Linked DNA regions of Macaca mulatta. The protein of the gene in region 1 purifies or fractionates together with the protein of each later gene. This does not show direct contact. Links are inferred from orthologs where the notes say so. Each region holds a gene or a part of one and is shown on either strand. Other genes may lie near its edges. The genes, in order: EIF4A2, EIF4G3, EIF4G1 and EIF3H.

Evidence for each region.
Region 2: the proteins of EIF4A2 (region 1) and EIF4G3 purify together in Homo sapiens (affinity purification with mass spectrometry; 3 studies listed by BioGRID and IntAct, with this or other methods). This does not show direct contact. The link is inferred for Macaca mulatta from reciprocal best matches to the Homo sapiens genes EIF4A2 and EIF4G3.
Region 3: the proteins of EIF4A2 (region 1) and EIF4G1 purify together in Homo sapiens (affinity purification with mass spectrometry; 6 studies listed by BioGRID and IntAct, with this or other methods). This does not show direct contact. The link is inferred for Macaca mulatta from reciprocal best matches to the Homo sapiens genes EIF4A2 and EIF4G1.
Region 4: the proteins of EIF4A2 (region 1) and EIF3H purify together in Homo sapiens (affinity purification with mass spectrometry; 3 studies listed by BioGRID and IntAct, with this or other methods). This does not show direct contact. The link is inferred for Macaca mulatta from reciprocal best matches to the Homo sapiens genes EIF4A2 and EIF3H.

Annotation. Positions count from the first base shown.
Region 1 is NC_133407.1:11,828,717-11,833,004, reverse strand, and holds the start of EIF4A2 (eukaryotic initiation factor 4A-II), read left to right. Parts: upstream 1-1,468; 5' UTR 1,469-1,489; coding exon 1,490-1,518; intron 1,519-2,309; coding exon of another isoform or gene 2,310-2,312; coding exon 2,313-2,358; intron 2,359-2,444; coding exon 2,445-2,577; intron 2,578-2,681; exon of another isoform or gene 2,682-2,750; intron 2,751-2,850; coding exon 2,851-2,990; intron 2,991-3,770; coding exon 3,771-3,939; intron 3,940-4,054; coding exon 4,055-4,164; intron 4,165-4,209; exon of another isoform or gene 4,210-4,288. UniProt on the Homo sapiens protein: ATP-dependent RNA helicase which is a subunit of the eIF4F complex involved in cap recognition and is required for mRNA binding to ribosome.
Region 2 is NC_133406.1:219,772,936-219,777,213, forward strand, and holds the start of EIF4G3 (eukaryotic translation initiation factor 4 gamma 3), read left to right. Parts: upstream 1-1,434; 5' UTR 1,435-1,437; coding exon 1,438-1,589; intron 1,590-4,278. UniProt on the Homo sapiens protein: Component of the protein complex eIF4F, which is involved in the recognition of the mRNA cap, ATP-dependent unwinding of 5'-terminal secondary structure and recruitment of mRNA to the ribosome. Functional homolog of EIF4G1.
Region 3 is NC_133407.1:96,460,829-96,464,388, reverse strand, and holds part of EIF4G1 (eukaryotic translation initiation factor 4 gamma 1), read right to left. Parts: intron 3,377-3,560; coding exon 2,561-3,376; intron 2,506-2,560; exon of another isoform or gene 2,427-2,505; intron 2,297-2,426; coding exon 2,208-2,296; intron 2,116-2,207; coding exon 1,929-2,115; intron 1,841-1,928; coding exon 1,707-1,840; intron 1,579-1,706; coding exon 1,420-1,578; intron 1,254-1,419; coding exon 1,065-1,253; intron 879-1,064; coding exon 681-878; intron 459-680; coding exon 312-458; intron 1-311.
Region 4 is NC_133413.1:127,140,350-127,144,516, reverse strand, and holds the start of EIF3H (eukaryotic translation initiation factor 3 subunit H), read left to right. Parts: upstream 1-1,349; 5' UTR 1,350-1,366; coding exon 1,367-1,498; intron 1,499-4,167.

The DNA.
Region 1 (4,288 bases):
TTGGATGAGACAACAAGGATCTCTGACAAACATCATTCTCAGAAAATGTCTGGCATCACCTCAAATATGGCTTTCGAACATTACAGAGGAATGAATGAGGAGCAGTACCAATAGACTGAGGGCCAGGCCCACTTTGCCATTTTGGTATTCTTCATCTTTGTCCCAATTCCTGGCACGATAAGAATTTTCAAATGAATAAATAATTTTCGTATTAAAATAGTATTTAGAACCAAGTATCTTCAATAATACAGAAAATTGAGTCAGCTTTCCCAGTAATGATTCTTTAAGTTGGCCTTCTGAAATATGATAAAATGTTTCCAGATATTCTCGATGATATTTTGCACCATGGGTAGGGTTGTATTTTAAAGTTAAATGACTACATATATTGTTTTTTTGTTGCTGTGAAGGGACCTGAGATGGGGCTAATTGAAAACATCTGGAGCTTAAAGACTCGTGCAGTTTACGCAGCAAGGATATTATTGCTCTGAATTTCAATAAATCAACATTTCACTATATATCGGTAAAGCTCAAAGCCCTTAAAAAATGACCAATATAGACGGAATCAACACCGATGTAGTCCCAAAGCGGCACAGAGCTGTATCTGCCAAAGCGTCCATTTAAATTCGTGCGTTCCACGGAAAATTACTGCTCCTTAGCTTCTATCCATTTGCAAAAGTTTATGATTTTTTTCAGGCATTCCTCACACCTGTTAGGTTAAAATCATTAACACTCTTTTAAAAAGAAAGCGAGAGACCGGAAACGATATGAGAATAGAATTGGCTACTCCAGAGACATCTGCAAATGACACTCCATTTTTTTTTTCTCGCTGCAAAATGTACCGGTAAACCAAACTTTCCGGGACTCGCTGGGTGGCCGACATTTTCCCTAGCAGGAATTTTACGTTTCCAAGATCTGAATGGATGTTAATGGTCGGGCTAAATGCCAGGCAGGTCTTCACTGTCAAATTAAACAGCGGTGGGAGCAAGTGGAATAACCGAGTTCCCCTCCCGCACCTGAGCGCCGGCAGCGAGCCGCGAGTCGGGACCCCTCGCACGCGGGAAGACCCAGACGCCCAGCGGGCAGCGTCTCCGGCTTCCGCCTCCGGCTCCGGCTCCAGCTCCACTCCCCCGGCCCGCCTCTGCGTCAGGGACGCGGAAACCCCGTAGGAGCAGGGCGGGCGGGGAAAGTGGTGTTTGACTAACGCCGCAGCGATATTCTTCCGCCGCGAGGTAAAGAATCCCAACCCAACCCCGGGCCCTAGGATTTCCAGCGACCCTATAATATCGAGAAATTACCACATTTGGATTTTCCAACCGTCTTGCTTAGGATTTTATCCGACGTAACGACCCCAGGATCACAATTTTGTGGCTGACCGAAGCACGGCGAGAAAATTCCTCCGCAAGAAACGGGTTCCGGCCACGAGCCTATAAAAAACGGGTGGCGGGGCTCTGCTGTCTTTTCAGTCGGGCGCTGAGTGGTTTTTCGGATCATGTCTGGTGGCTCCGCGGATTATAACAGGTATGGCGCTCTGTTGGCGGTCGCGGTCTGTAGTGAAGGTCGTAGGGCGCCAGGAGAGATTATAGTGGATGGCATGGAGGCAAAAACTCCAACTTAGTGCACGTTTCCTTAGGGTACAGCACCCCTGTGCCCTTCCAGAAGCTTCCATGATGGGTAGGGCCCGGATTGTGGGGAGACAGGACGATGGTGCGAAAGCAGTGGCTAAAGGGCGTTTCTCCTCCCTAAGACATTACGGAATTTTGGCTGCTTCCCCTCCCAGTGTAGAGCACGGGAAACATGCAGTAAACAGCCGTGGCGCAGTCCGCGTTCGGTACAGTGTAACCAGGACCCGAAGCTTTATTTTTGGTCAACCACAGGAGTTGGGGGTCCTTGGCTTCAGTTGGGGAAGGGTTGGAGGCAGCGGTCTCCACTCGGCCACGGCGCGGAGGCGATGGGACCGGACCGGCACGGGTGCCGGCGAACCGTTGGCATCGCTCTCGCCAGGCCGCTCCGCCCGCGTCAATCACCCGGCTTGCGCATTGTTGGGGGCGGAGCTCGTCGCCCCGAGCTCTCGCGAGACGCTCCGCCGCCGAAACGGGATCCCCATGCGCTGGGGCCTGGGGGGCTGCCTTTCCGGACATCCGCGGCCCCCGACCTTTAGGGAAGGCGCGCAGTGTGATATTCGTCCTGCAGCTGCTGCTTTAACTTGTGCAGGGGAGGCTAATGTGCTGAGACGGGTTGCAAAGGGCTATCCCTTTAAGATGCAGTTAAGGTGGCTTGGAAGGGATGTCTGACTGCAGTATTCTTGTCAGCAGAGAACATGGCGGCCCAGAGGGAATGGACCCCGATGGTGTCATCGAGGTAAGAAACGGTTGTGGATGTTGAAGCTTTGAAAAGGTGAATGTGTTCATCTCACTCATGCGTGCATTATTTTTTCTAACTTACAGAGCAACTGGAATGAGATTGTTGATAACTTTGATGATATGAATTTAAAGGAGTCTCTTCTTCGTGGCATCTATGCTTACGGTTTTGAGAAGCCTTCCGCTATTCAGCAGAGAGCTATTATTCCCTGTATTAAAGGTAAAAGAAACTGAAATTTTTAGGAAATGACTTTATTCTACATAGTCATGGACCGTAAAAGGGAAAGTAACCTCTGGGGGACTAGCACCTGTTTGTATTCCTTAAAGTGAAATGATGGCAATCATCTTTCGGGACTGACCTGAAATGAAGAGAATACTCATTGCTGATCACTTATTATTTGGGCATAATTCATGTTCCAAATGGAATACATGGTGTAAAGTAGAAGTGACAATTTGGTGTGGGATCGGTAAATATGTATCCTACTTTTTTTAGGGTATGATGTGATTGCTCAAGCTCAGTCAGGTACTGGCAAGACAGCCACATTTGCTATTTCCATCCTGCAACAGTTGGAGATTGAGTTCAAGGAGACCCAAGCACTAGTATTGGCCCCCACCAGAGAACTGGCTCAACAGGTATTGATAGTGTAGTTCAAAAAAACTGCTTGCGTGTTGCATAGGTTTCAGGTTTCACAACTGTGAAGAATTTAAAACTTAGTATAAATTGGTCCTACCAGATCCTTCCTTTTAATTGTCCATGCATGCAGGGAGTTTTTGTTGAAAGCTTTAAAAGAACTGGGTATGCAGGTATGGTTTGTAGGGTTGTATACTAACAGATTGAGAATCCGAAACACTCTTGGATGTACTAGATCTGTCCCCATTTTTTAAGTTTGAATGCAGTTGTGCAACATGAAAACTGCAGTGACATGTTACCATTTGACTGTCTCCGTAGTTTGTGATGCATCTGTTGCATGCTATGTTTTCAAAGCTCACTGCTATGTTGGCTTTGAAGTAAACCTTCCTAATAAAGCTGGAGGCTTTATTGAGGTCAAGATTATATAAAGCACAATACCCTCTGGGGGAAAAAAATTATTTGCCCTAGCTGTAATTACAGAACATATATTTCACTATGTACTCCCTACACACAGTGAAGAATAATGTAGGAAATGTTATTCTTGAATTGTCTAGCTGATGCGTGGGGCAGCAGCATCCCAAGTTTGACAAGGCAGAAGAAAGACATTAAGGGAGTTTTACCTTGAAGCAGTTAGGTCAGTCTGCGTTTTAAGCTTGGAAGTAGTTTCGTGCTGTGCATGCATAAAAGCTGTTGGCAGACCAGTTTAAATTTGCCATTATGCTTTAAAAAGTAGTCATTGATCCTGGAGTTCTTCAGGATAATAATTAAGGCTTGGTTTTTAGATCCAAAAGGTAATTCTGGCACTTGGAGACTATATGGGAGCAACTTGTCATGCCTGCATTGGTGGAACAAATGTTCGAAATGAAATGCAAAAACTGCAGGCCGAAGCACCACATATTGTTGTTGGTACACCTGGGAGAGTTTTTGATATGTTAAACAGAAGATATCTTTGTAAGTATTGTCTTTAAAAGAGTTTTTTTTTTTTTTTTTTTTTTTTATTGTTACAGTTGAAAAGTCATATTACTGAGTAGATCTAGAAGTGACAGTATGACTTTGTTTCTAACAGCTCCAAAATGGATCAAAATGTTTGTTTTGGATGAAGCAGATGAAATGTTGAGCCGTGGGTTTAAGGATCAAATCTATGAGATTTTCCAAAAACTAAATACAAGTATTCAGGTAAGCATTACTTCACTCCCCTCTTAAAGGTACAGATGGGGTTTAATGCAGGTACTGTTACAATACAACTGACGTGTTTTATTGTCGTTCCCCCTGCTTAAAGCACTTGATGCATAACTATCTT
Region 2 (4,278 bases), on another chromosome or scaffold:
GCGGCCCCCCCTCCTCACCCGAACATCAGGGCCCTCCAGACCCAGGCGCCCCAACAGTATCCTTTTCACCTTCCTGTCGGCCCTTCGGTTCTCGTCATCGCAGCCCAGGGGACCCTCCTGTCGGCCGCCACAGCCCAGCCTGGAAAGGGGCAGCGGCTCAAGCCCCTGCATCGGGCTTGGCCGGAGCTTTTGGGGTGCCCCGGCAGCCGCACTGCGGGGGGACCCCGAGACCCTCAGCAATACTGTGAAAGCTAGCTCCACTTGGCCATGCTTCTGCAGCCCCTTTTAGAGCTTGGGGACCCTTCTCCCCTAAGGTGCCTTCCCCCTCTTTATTGGGCAGAATTTGCTTGGTGTCTGAGACCAACCCTGCAGGGAGGGCTTTTCTCTGGTGGTTGTGAGGATTACACCCTTCTACTCACCTCCCCTCGGCTCCCCCTACAGCGGGACACGATGGGCTTCCCTAATTATTATTAGTACATAATAAACTTTATCGGTAAATTTCTTGTTTGAAACTAATCAGCTCGTTTCCGAGGTAAGTTGGATTTTCAGTCTAAGGTGAAAATGTACAGAAAGCAGTTCCTCTGGATAGTTTTTTTTAGTAATGGGAGAGTTGTGATGTGGTTTGTGGTAGATCGAGATCTAAGGAGGAAATGTGACGCCGGACGCTTCCCTGTCTTTGACCTTTTTAAAGGAAGAGGAAGTTCACTGACATTACCCATCACTCACAAAAGTCTCACTTCTTGGAAGATTTGCGTTAGGCTGAATATTTTTAATGGGCTTTGATTTACTCTTCATAGGCCTGATGATGTCTAGAGAGTTACCAGGGCTTCTGGAGGAAAGTCTAGTATTGAATGTTTCTAATTTCATGTTATTTGCTCGATTGTAGAATTTTGGACAGCTTTGATTGAAAAGACTTGGTGATGGGGTATTTTAGTCAAAAACTAACCGGTGAAGGTAAAACGTTGAATTTATGAATTCCACGGAGATTTAGAAAGGTATTGCGTACCTGAGAATAACATTTCATCATGCATCACCTCCTCCCTGCACCCACTGTATTTGTGTAAATCAATAATGATTGGATGTTAGATGTGTTGTTGTATTTGTGTCATCGTGTATTTGACTTTTAGAGATTGTAGGATGTTTGAGCAAGTAAGAAGCTAACTGCTGTGAGGTCCCCAGATTATTTCACAGTCTGTAGTTTGATTCTTGTCTGTATAGATTACTTTGAGAAGGGAAAGCAGTCTCCCTTCTAGAGTCATTTCAGGTCATTGTTTTCTGCCAAGTGTCATTTTCTCTGTTCTTTAAATCTAGTTCATGTTTTTCAATCCAGGCACCATGGTGCAGTGTAAAGATAAATTCCTTTCCAGTGTGACGTGTGTACTGATTTCATAATGTTTTTATCCTGCGTGATTGTGTTCAATTAGGAATTGTTCAGCGATGAGAAGGTGTAGTGATAACTTAGCGTTGCTTGTGGAAAACCTGGTTAGTTTTGGTCAGTGTCTCCGGGGTTGGGGAAGGTTGGCTGGTTTGCCGACTTCAAGGCAGAGTTCAGTGTTGGATCTCTTAAACCTGTCTTTGCGTACTACTTTGTGAGTTTAAATTCCTTTCTAATTTCATGTTTTGCCTTGATTGCCTATACTTGGTTAGGACTTTTAAGTTTCTGAATTGTGCCACTAAGTAAATTACTCATTACCTGCATCTTTGAGTTGTTTTGGTAATTAAACAGAAATGAAAGGAAACCCATAGTGGGTGTCCTTGATGTACAGAGTAGTAAGGACCGCAGTCCTGAATGTGACACTGCTTGGTGAATTTGGTGGCTTTTTAGGACACAAAGAGCTGTGTTTCAAGTATGCTTTTTCTCAGTGCATTTCATCGAAGAACTTATAAAAGCTCTGAGTTGGTTGCAACATTCAAGTAGTTAAAAACTGAAACTTAATTTTCTTTTGAATAAAAAGCAGCTGTTAAAGAGATAAATTTAAGTGTAATTTCCAGTGTAAATAATTTTAAACCAATTTTAGTTGAATGGAATACTTACTTTTATGTGGCTTTAAGTTTTTACTTTGCCTCATGCCATTGAAGCTAAAATTAATCTTCCTCTTGACGTGTTTCACAGCTCTTATTATTTTCTGTTTGCTTTTACACACTGAAAGGTTACAATTGCTAAAAATAGAACATTTTATTGTATGAACAGTAAATGAAGTATAGGTTATAGATTTCATCAGAACATACCAGTGGTGAAGTGTTATCAACTGGTAATGGGGTATTGATTAAAAAAGGATTGAAATAGAGCAGTTCTGCTTTTCTATCCCGAGGGAGTATGGGCATTTGTATTTGACGCAAGTGGTCACTGTTCAATAAGTTGATAACATTTAAGCATCTTGGCAGGAGTGCATAGCTGGAGTTGCACTTTTCATGGCTTGAATAGATTTCCAGACCCTCAAAGTATGTGAGTATAGTTGTGTTTGCATTGAATTAATAAGTTCAGACAGTTTTATTTATTCATTTTTTGAGACAGAGTCTCGCTGTGTCGCCCAGGCTGGAGTGCAGTGGTGTGATCTCGGCTCACTGCAACCTATGCCTGCTGGGTTCAAGGGATTCTCATGCCTCAGCCTCCTGAGTAGCTGGGATTACAGCTGTGTGCCACCACGTCCAGGAAATTTTTTGTAGGGTGTGATCAGCGTCCCAAACTGCTGGAGTTACAGGCGTGAGCCACTGCACCTGGCCAGACGGTATTTTAAATTTGTAAAAATGCTAGAAAGATTTGCATGGCACTATGTCCTTCATTTATACTTAGTGTTCAAGTGACAAATCAGAAATGAGGAGAAGTGTTAACATTAACGGATTTGAATGTAAACCGAAACGCTTAAAAGTAGGAATCAGTATTGCATGGCAGGGCCCATAAGGCCATTTCAAGTAGTGGCCTTTGGCTTAAAAGCAGCAGATGTTGGGGGCCTGGCAGAGGGCAGGCCAGGATGGCAGAGGCTGGAAAAAGAAAAACTCTGATATGAAAAGTGCTAAAGGAATGGCGAAATAGGCTTAGGGTTTTCATAACATAATCCAGCATGAAGTTTATAGGTTATGAAATTAGCTCTTTAAAATATTTGCCTTGAGATACGCTCACCCTCACTTTCCCGTATGAGGTTCCAAGAGGCTCTGTGGAGAATCTTAACAGTGATTCTTAACCTTTTCTGGGTAACAAACAACTTTGACATTTTGATGAAAGCTATAGGGACCCTTTCCACAGAAAACTGTGCATACACAGAAACTGTTGCTTACATTTTTTTGGGGGGGCAGTTCTTGGCCCCCCTCTTAAAAGCCTAGCCCTTTAGATTGAAATTGCTCACCCTTCAGATAATTCAAGATAAATGAGTTTGAATTTAGGTATCCAAGTAGTTCTGACTTAAAAAGTACAACTTTGCAGTCTGTTATGAATACACAATGTTCTCTCTATATGGAAAGACTTCAGGGTGTAATTTCTCTCAGGGTTGCTGACACTTCTGGGGAGTCTAGTTACTGTTTTGGGGCAGCCAATATAGTTAAGAAAATCAAGCGGTGGGTTCTTACTAGGAGCTAAATTTGGGAAAGACCTGCATCAGCCGGAAAATACCTCATGTTCTTAGCTAGTTTGTCATACATATATGACATATATATTAAAAACCACTATTCCTGTAATATTTTGGTATTAGAGTTTTCCTTTTTAATTTCTGTATTGATATTCAGTTTTATCTTACAGGCTGAAGCCAATAACATTTTCTGTCTTCTTTTTTGCCTGTCTACCAAAGCTAAATCTGAATAATTAATAATAGTATTTATTTATTGAGTTCCTACTATCCTGGGAGCCAGACATGCATGATTTTATTTAATTCCCAGGAGAACTTTAATAAGGTAGTCGGTATTGTCCGTATTTTATAGGTGAGGAAACTGAAGTGCAGAGAAGTAATGTTTCCAGGGTTCTCCTAGTAAGTGGTGGTCTGTGATTCAGACTGGTATGACTGACTCCAAAGCCCATGAATGCCTTTTTTACTATGCTTGGCTGTTTCTCCCCAAGCCTGTATGTGGGAATGGGAGGAAGAATACTCTCCTCTATTTGAGAGCCAGGGGAAGGTCCGTATACAGAAATGAGGTTCTGTGGAGTAATCTAGAACACAGTGATACTGTACTTTGTTTTAATTAGTTAATAGTCACATACTGCTAGACAATTAGGTTATCTTTAACTTATTGAGCCTTAAGACATAGGCCTTTGGTTCAGTGCATGTTCCTGCTTGTTCAGAAGTTAGC
Region 3 (3,560 bases), about 85 Mb from region 1:
ACCCCGTCTCTACTAAAAATGCAAAAAAATTAGCCAGGTATGGTGGCACATGCCTGTAATCCCAGCTACTTGGGAGGCTGAGGCAGGAGAATCGCTTGAACTCGGGAGGTGGAGGCTAGCCAAGATCACGCCACTGCACTCCAGCCTCGGTGACAGAGCGAGACTCTGTCTCAAAAAGGAAAAAAAAAAGTTCTGAGCCAGAGAAATCCCCAAGACACCACTATTTCCATTCCAAATTCTACAGTTGAGTAGAATCTGGGTGAGGGAAGGAGCTAAGTGGGGAGTGGAATCGGTAGTGGGTTTTCTCTCACCGTAGCAGCTTCATCCATCTCTTTTTGCTTCTTCTCAAAAACCTCATCATCATCTTTGTCTTTCTCAAACTCCTTCTGACATCGATTCAACAACAGCTTTCGGAAGTTTACAGTCACTGTTGGCTTTTCCGTAGTGGGCACTTTCAGCTGCAGGTCGGAGAGAATGTCACACTCAGACTAGTACTGGGCAGGGAAGGCCCTCCAAGAGCCTTTAACTACCTGACCCAGGAAGATATCTGGCCCCAGCTGTGCCTCCTTCCAGCTGGAAGAGGTGCAAGTTGGAGGAGAACCAAGAAGCTGGACTCAAGGAGTCTTGGGAATAGAAATGGGCAACTAGACCATAAGATTTAGAACCCAGTGGAAACTAACCGCCATGAGGCAGCGGCACATGTTGGCATAGGCCACAGAGAAGTTGGGCTCTGAAATGGCCTTCTCAAAAATGAGGTCAATGACCCCTTTGAGGCGTTCCTCGGTGTCAATGGCCAGCTGCGTCACTTGCTTCATCAGCTGCTGGAACATCTGGGGTGTCAGCTTATTCAGGATGGAGCGCACCCTGCGGAATAGGTCCTGGAGGAAGAGGAGACAAGAGTTCCAGTGAGGGTCTCAGAACAGGCTGTTCAGAGGGACAGGAGAGAGTGGTGGGGACTTAGGCATGACAGATGCTACTGATAAGGACAAAAAGCAGCAAAGAGGGCACTGACAGCAGACATGGAAAAGAAATGGAGAGAGACCAAAAGCAGGACTCGCCAGTACCTGGGTTTTGCTGCCATCAGCATCCTCTTCCCCTCGGTCCTTATCAGCTGCCGTCCGCTTGCTGCTGGGTTTCCAGGCTTTCTCTGCTTTGTTCAGTTTTATATCTTCGGTCATTAACACTGTGGCAATGATCTTGCGTGGTTCTTTTCGGGTGCCCTGCTGAGAGCGCCGGGGTCCCAGGCCAGCCTGCTAAGCAAGAGATGAAGACAAGAGGGGACGTGGAACTAGTCAGCACAATATGTGATACCACTACTACACGCCTCCAGGGCAAAACCCTCCCCGTCAGCACTGAGACACAGGGGAATCATCCACTCCCACTCCTTACCCACCTGCCCCTTTACCCAGCCCCACTCACCGGCCCTCGGGGCAGCTCCCCACCTGGCCCACCCCTTGGGGGCCCACGGGTGCTAAGGGCTGGCCGGCCAAGGTTGGCAAAGGATGGAGTGAAGTCTGGGCCATAATTTATGCCTTGTAGTCTAGTGGGGTCCAGTGGTCGCAGTGGTGTTTTATTGGCCTGCAAAGAGGACAGGAAAAGGTCTTAGAAGCAGGCTAGAGCAGTTGACTACTCTTTCAGGACCTCAGGCTCCTCCCCAATCCATCCAGCACAAACTTATCGTCCCCTCCCTGACTCAAGCCACTAACCTTGTCCAGCACCACATCACTGATATGGGGCAATCCCTCTGGCTTCTGCATACTGGCAAAGATGAACTGAAAACCAAGCAGGAACTCACGGTCGTAACGTTTTTTCTCCTCTAGATTTAGAGGCTTCCACTGATCTGCGAGGAAGAGAATGAAGCAATCATACTGTCTTCTCTGGCCCTAATAAGAAAACTCAAGTCATTCTCAACCCTTTCTTCAGCATACCTGACTTATATTCATACTTCTGTTCCCCGGGCTGGATGTTCTCAGCATTGTGAATTTTGTCTTCCTTTGAGTCCCAGGTCTCATCTGCTTCCTCAGGACGTGGGGGCACACCACTGCCCTCAGACTCTGGGCCTGGATTGCTGCCTGCAGGAGGCTGATTTTCCACCTCTGGTACTGCCGGGTTTGCCTAGAACAACAGAACACCAGTTTTGGTTGCACAATGACCACTGTTCCATACCTCAACTTGGCCCTCTCCCCTTCCGTTTTCTGCTCCCTTACCTCCTTGAAGGCATCCAGAAGGTCTCCAACAGCCTCCTTCTTATTTAGCTCCTTAATTTTCCGTCTCCTCTTTGGCACAGATACTGCCACTAATTTTAAAAAATAAATAAAAGCATGGGTCTTTGCCAATAATTTAAGGAGTACCCTTAATCCCTGGGAAATAAAAAGCAGCCAAAGTACATATTTCCCCTTTGCATCACAGTCTTCAGGCTTAAAAGTCCTTAATCTAGTTCTTAGATTCCATTGCAGGGCCTCTATGACCCAGAAACATGGCAAAAACGGGAGGTCATCAAGGAGGGCAAGGAACCACATCCCCTAGCCCACCCTACCTCTACTGCCCAACCAATCCTTACCTTGAGTGGCCGCTGCTGCCTCCAAATTCTGAGACAAGTTGGCTGGAACAGGGGTGCTCTCTGAGGGGAGCAGTTCCTCTCCTCCCTTCTCACTCTCAGCTTCTCCTGCTTCTCCTTCTTCCTCTTCTTCTTCTTCTTCTTCCATTTCCTCCTCCTGAGCGGGGGAAGTAGCTGAAGGAGCCATAGCTGGAGTGGCAGAGAGGATGGTGGCGGGCGCCACTGATGCTGTCACCTCCTTGGCCTGCTCCTCTGGCTCACTGACTGGGCTTAAGTCCACAGCTGGTGGCGAGGGGGCTCCGTTGAGCAGTTCCTCAGGTTGGGCAGTTGGAGCAATGGGCACAGGGGATTCGGAGGGGCAAGCTGGTGGAAGAGCAAGCTCTGGGCTGGACTCCACCTCTGGTTCCAGATCTTCAGATGGGACCATGCCATTAGGCTCATGAATTTCCACTGTGTGAGATGCCAGAGGAGTGGAAGCCTGGAGAGGACTGGAAGAGAATTCAGATTCTGGAACCGGTTTGCTAAGTGTCACTTCTACTTCCAGTATGGGTTCGGCGAGAGGAGTGGGTTCTGGAGAGAGGCGATATGGCTCCCCAGTTTCACGGGAGATGGGGGTTGATTCTTCTACAGACATTTGTATAGTTGCCATAGTGTCCCCAGGAATAGAGAGGACTGCGAGATTAGGCTCAGACCCCGGTTCCAAGACTGGGGATGGTGATGGGGTCGGAGAAGGTGACGAAGGCTGGGATTCTGAAGGGCTGTGCTCTGGGCCAGGCAGCCCTGGCCGGTCAGCAATGATTGCTCCCTGTGACCGGTCATCTGCACCATAGGAAGGAAGAATGAGCAACTAAAGGCAAGTGCTTCACTGCTGTTGTTCCTCCCCATCCTCCAGCCAAGGTATTTCCAACTTAACACTCCCACGTCATCATCTCCCACCTAAGCTATACTTCCACTTTCATCCAAAACCCAATTCACCCTCAAAATCCCACGACCTGAAATCTAA
Region 4 (4,167 bases), on another chromosome or scaffold:
TTCTAGTGCATGTACATCCTGGTTCTTGAGGAGATGAAAGATTTTTAATTGAAACTTGGACATTTGGGTATTTTTTTTTTTTTTAATGAACTCTGGATCCTATGTTGTAGGATAAAGCAATAAATAAATGTGTTATTGTTCATAAGTAGCCTAGCTGTTTTCTAATGCTCATCATTCCAGCTACCTAGTGGTAGGCAAAAACCTCCAGTCTGTTCTTCCATGAGAGATTTTCTTTCTTCTTTTTTTTCTTTTTGTTAATGTTCTATTACCAAATTCTAGTGTAGTTCTATGTGGATCAACCTTTAGCACCTCTAAATTTGTGGACTTTCTCTGTGACCTAGGATGTAGTCTATTTTGATAAATATTTCATATACACTCGAAATGAGTGGATATTAACTTTTCATTTTGTAGTGTTAAGAATTTGTAACATGTAATTATTTCTTCTCCCAGATTGAAATATAACACCAGATCCCAATGATAAAACAACAAAAAACTTCAGGGCAGGATATGTCGTTTACTGATTTAACTATTTCATCAGTTCTGTATATATACTGATTGAATGAATAAACATTTCAAAAATAAGGGATAGGAAAAAAGTCATCTGGAAGTAGAAAAGAATGTTTTAAATTACTTATCTAAAATGGCTTCTTACAGTTGTCACATATTCTTTTAAGGACTTGAGATGTGTATTTCAGAGTAATGTGTCATAAATCAGCATGATTTTTAGAAAATATGTTCTGTATCATCCTTCAACAATACCTAAAATAACTTCTTTGGTACTTTACTCATGTAAATCTCTACATGAAACTAATAGCAGAAGGCTACTATTTCTGGTAATTCTGATAAAAGTTTCCATGTCTTAATTTCTGTATAATCTAAGTGGTTACAAGTAGCTATCTAAAATTACATAAAACAAGTTGACCAATACTGGCTCACCGCTAATTAACAGAATAATGTCGGACAAAACACTCCTCAGTTTTCTAATATGCATAATGCGAGTTAGTACAGCACTTCATTGCGAGATCAGAAATGAAAGCATTTTTACATAAGAGACACTACAGAAATAATGTGAACTGTAATGCTATTATGACCGTTTGCCTAATGGTGAATGATTAAACATTTAAAAAGTTTATTTTCATCTTAGATCATTCCATTGGAAAGAGGTCGAAAATGTACAGTAGGCATGCACAAAGGATAACGCCTGGAAATAAGGTAAAACTAGAGAAGAGGAGGGAGGCGGGGCCCAATTTTGGCTTCTCCTTCCATCTCCGCCCCTCGAACGCCGGCCTGCGAGTGACGTCACGCGAGACTTGTACTTCCGCTTCCGGTAACTCACGTTTCTCTTTCTTCCTGTCAGCCTGGAAAGATGGCGTCCCGCAAGGAAGGCACCGGCTCTACTGCCACCTCTTCCAGCTCCACCACCGGCGGAGCAGGGAAAGGTAAAGGCAAAGGCGGCTCCGGAGATTCAGCCGTGAAGCAAGTGCAGATAGATGGCCTCGTGAGTGCTGTTCCGTTTCCTCTGGCCCACGTGGGGAGCGCAGTTCCCAACCCCGTCCCACCAGCCGTACTTTTCAGCATTCTCTCCCCCGGGCTTGGTGTGGCTGGGCCAAAGTTTTTCCCTAGTACTTTTCTCTTTCATCTTCACTTTTTGTTCAGGAGAGGCGAGAACCTTCTTTTGTCTTCTAACGGGGCAGTTGGGGCTTCAGGAAGGGGACTGAGAATAGGGGTGTGAGTGACAGGTTCCTGGGGTCTTGTTTCGAGATGCCCGGTGGGGGGATTTGGAGAAAGACTCCTGGAGACAAGCAGCTAACAAAGGTGTCGAGTAGGATTTAGGGACCTAGTAGGGCTCTGGGAAGGAGAGAGTAAGGAAACTCCACTGCTTTCCTGCTGGGATCTGACATCTATAACTTCCCAAGTGGAGGTGTACCTTGTAGCCCCTCTTTTGAGCCTGTACTTCGGCGCTTTATCTGAAACCGCATAATTTAAAATAGACTCTTTTGTAGTGTTCATTCTGAAAAACAAAAGAATATCAAAGAGAAGGGCCTTAGATGTGTTTAGTAGTTAAGGTTCGTGAACTAGGACATCCAAGGAAATTCTGGATAAGGAAATGGACTTAGCTGGCAAAAGGAAAATCTAGAATGAGAAATTTTATTTCTGTTGTTTCGAAGCAAAATGCATTTGTACGACGTTCTAGTTTTAAAAGCATCCTTCCTGCCTCTCTTTTTAAAAAGCATCCTCTCTTCTTTTGATTGTTTTTTAAAGGTTATTTCCTATTAATGCAGATCTTAGATATTTGTAATAAGGAAGTACTTTTAAATTCATGTGAAAATTGTAATTGCAAGGGGGTATTTTTAAGTGGAAACTATTGATAATTTAAACCCAGCGTATAACTGAATCAGTTGAACTGACTTAGTTAAACTGGATACCAAAGTGTAGCCTGGTGATTAAGAGCTCATTCAGTCTTCTAGGCTCTTCCACTTTAACCAGCTCTGTGACTTTAGGCAAGTTAGCCTTTCCAAGCTTTGCTTTCCTCATCTGTCAAGTGGGAATGATAAGTATCTATATCATAGAGTTGTTTGGATTAAATGAAAAAAATTATGTGGTGACCTGTAGTACAATGTAATCATTTAATGTTAGTTATGGTTACTATTATGAGTTTAATGTCTGTGGTTAGCAGAGTTTGAAAGATGCAGGCAAGAGATTAACTTTGGAATGTTTTGTTCTAAATGCCACTTGTGTAATACTTTGAAAATGCAGACCGGGCGCGGTGGCTCAGGGCTGTAATCCCAGCACTTTGGGAGGCCGAGGCGGGTGGATCACGAGGTCAGGAGTTCGAGACCAGCCTGACCAACATGGTGAAACCCCGTCTCTACTAAAAATACAAAAATTAGCCGGGCATGCTGGCGAGCGCCTGTTATCCCAGCTACTCAGGAGGCTGAGGCAAGAGAATCACTTGAACCTGGGAGGCGGAGGTTGCAGTGAGCCGAGATTGTGCCACTGCACTCCAGCCAGGGCAATAGAGCGAGACTGCGTCTCAAAAAACAAAAACAAAAACAAAAAACAGAAAAGAAAATGGCGTACTGTTTGGTCTGTGTACTGGCACTCTGGCTTTCCCTGGCTCATGGGAGGCAGATGTGTGTTCAGGAATAAATGACGTGTCTTTAGAGACTGCAAATCTCTAAAGTTAGTGGGTGAACTTAGATTACACTTGTTAAAATAAGTGCCACTTGGCCGGGTGCGGTGGCTCACGCCTGTAATCCCAGCACTTTGGGAAGCCAAGGCGGGTGGATTGCGAGGTCAGGCGATGGAAACTATCCTGGCTAACACGGTGAAACCCCTTCTCTACTAAAAGTACAAAAAATTAGCCGGGCGTGGTGGCGGGCGCCCGTAGTCCCAGCTACTTGGGAGGCTGAGGCAGGATAATGGCGTGAACCCGGGAGGCGGAGCTTGTAGTGAGCCGAGATCGCGCCACTGCACTCCAGCCTGGGTGACAGAGTGAGACTCCGTCTCAAAAACCAAAAAAATAAAAAAATAAAAAGAATAAAATAAATACCACTTATACACTTGGGAAATGTTTATTTCTTAGAAACATATTTCTTATTAAATTTGCTATGTCACAACAGTACTCTTTGAATCACTTAGTTTCCAGAGTTGAAAAAGGCAACAGGTCGGTGGCATAAATCTATTTGGAGGTCATTTATTCAGCAAATATTTTAGGACATTCTTTTAAGCGCCAAATACTGTCTAACATAGGGCAGTGATAAAAGCACTTCCATAACAATGTCCTGGCAGCTTTAAGAGGGATTGTTGAATTAAAAAGAGACCTCTGCAGGTGGAGATGGACTGGATCACTTCAAGTTTCACAAATAGGCAGTGGGCTTAGGAAGGTTAAGAAACTGGTTCTCAATTTTGTGGTTTCACAAATTGCTTTTTTTTTTTTTTATCAGCTCTCTCAGAATTGATTAATGCTAAGGAACCGATTAATCCTTCTCACAGGAGATTGGTTTATATACATGTAAATGTTGATTTACTCATTTACTGTGGAAGACATACCTTTTCAGTGGTGAAAATGCTCATATCTACCACCAAAAAGACCCTTTTTGATTACCAAAGCACCTTGGAAATCGGATAAAAAATCAGAAGCTTACTAGTGACTCCAAAATCAAT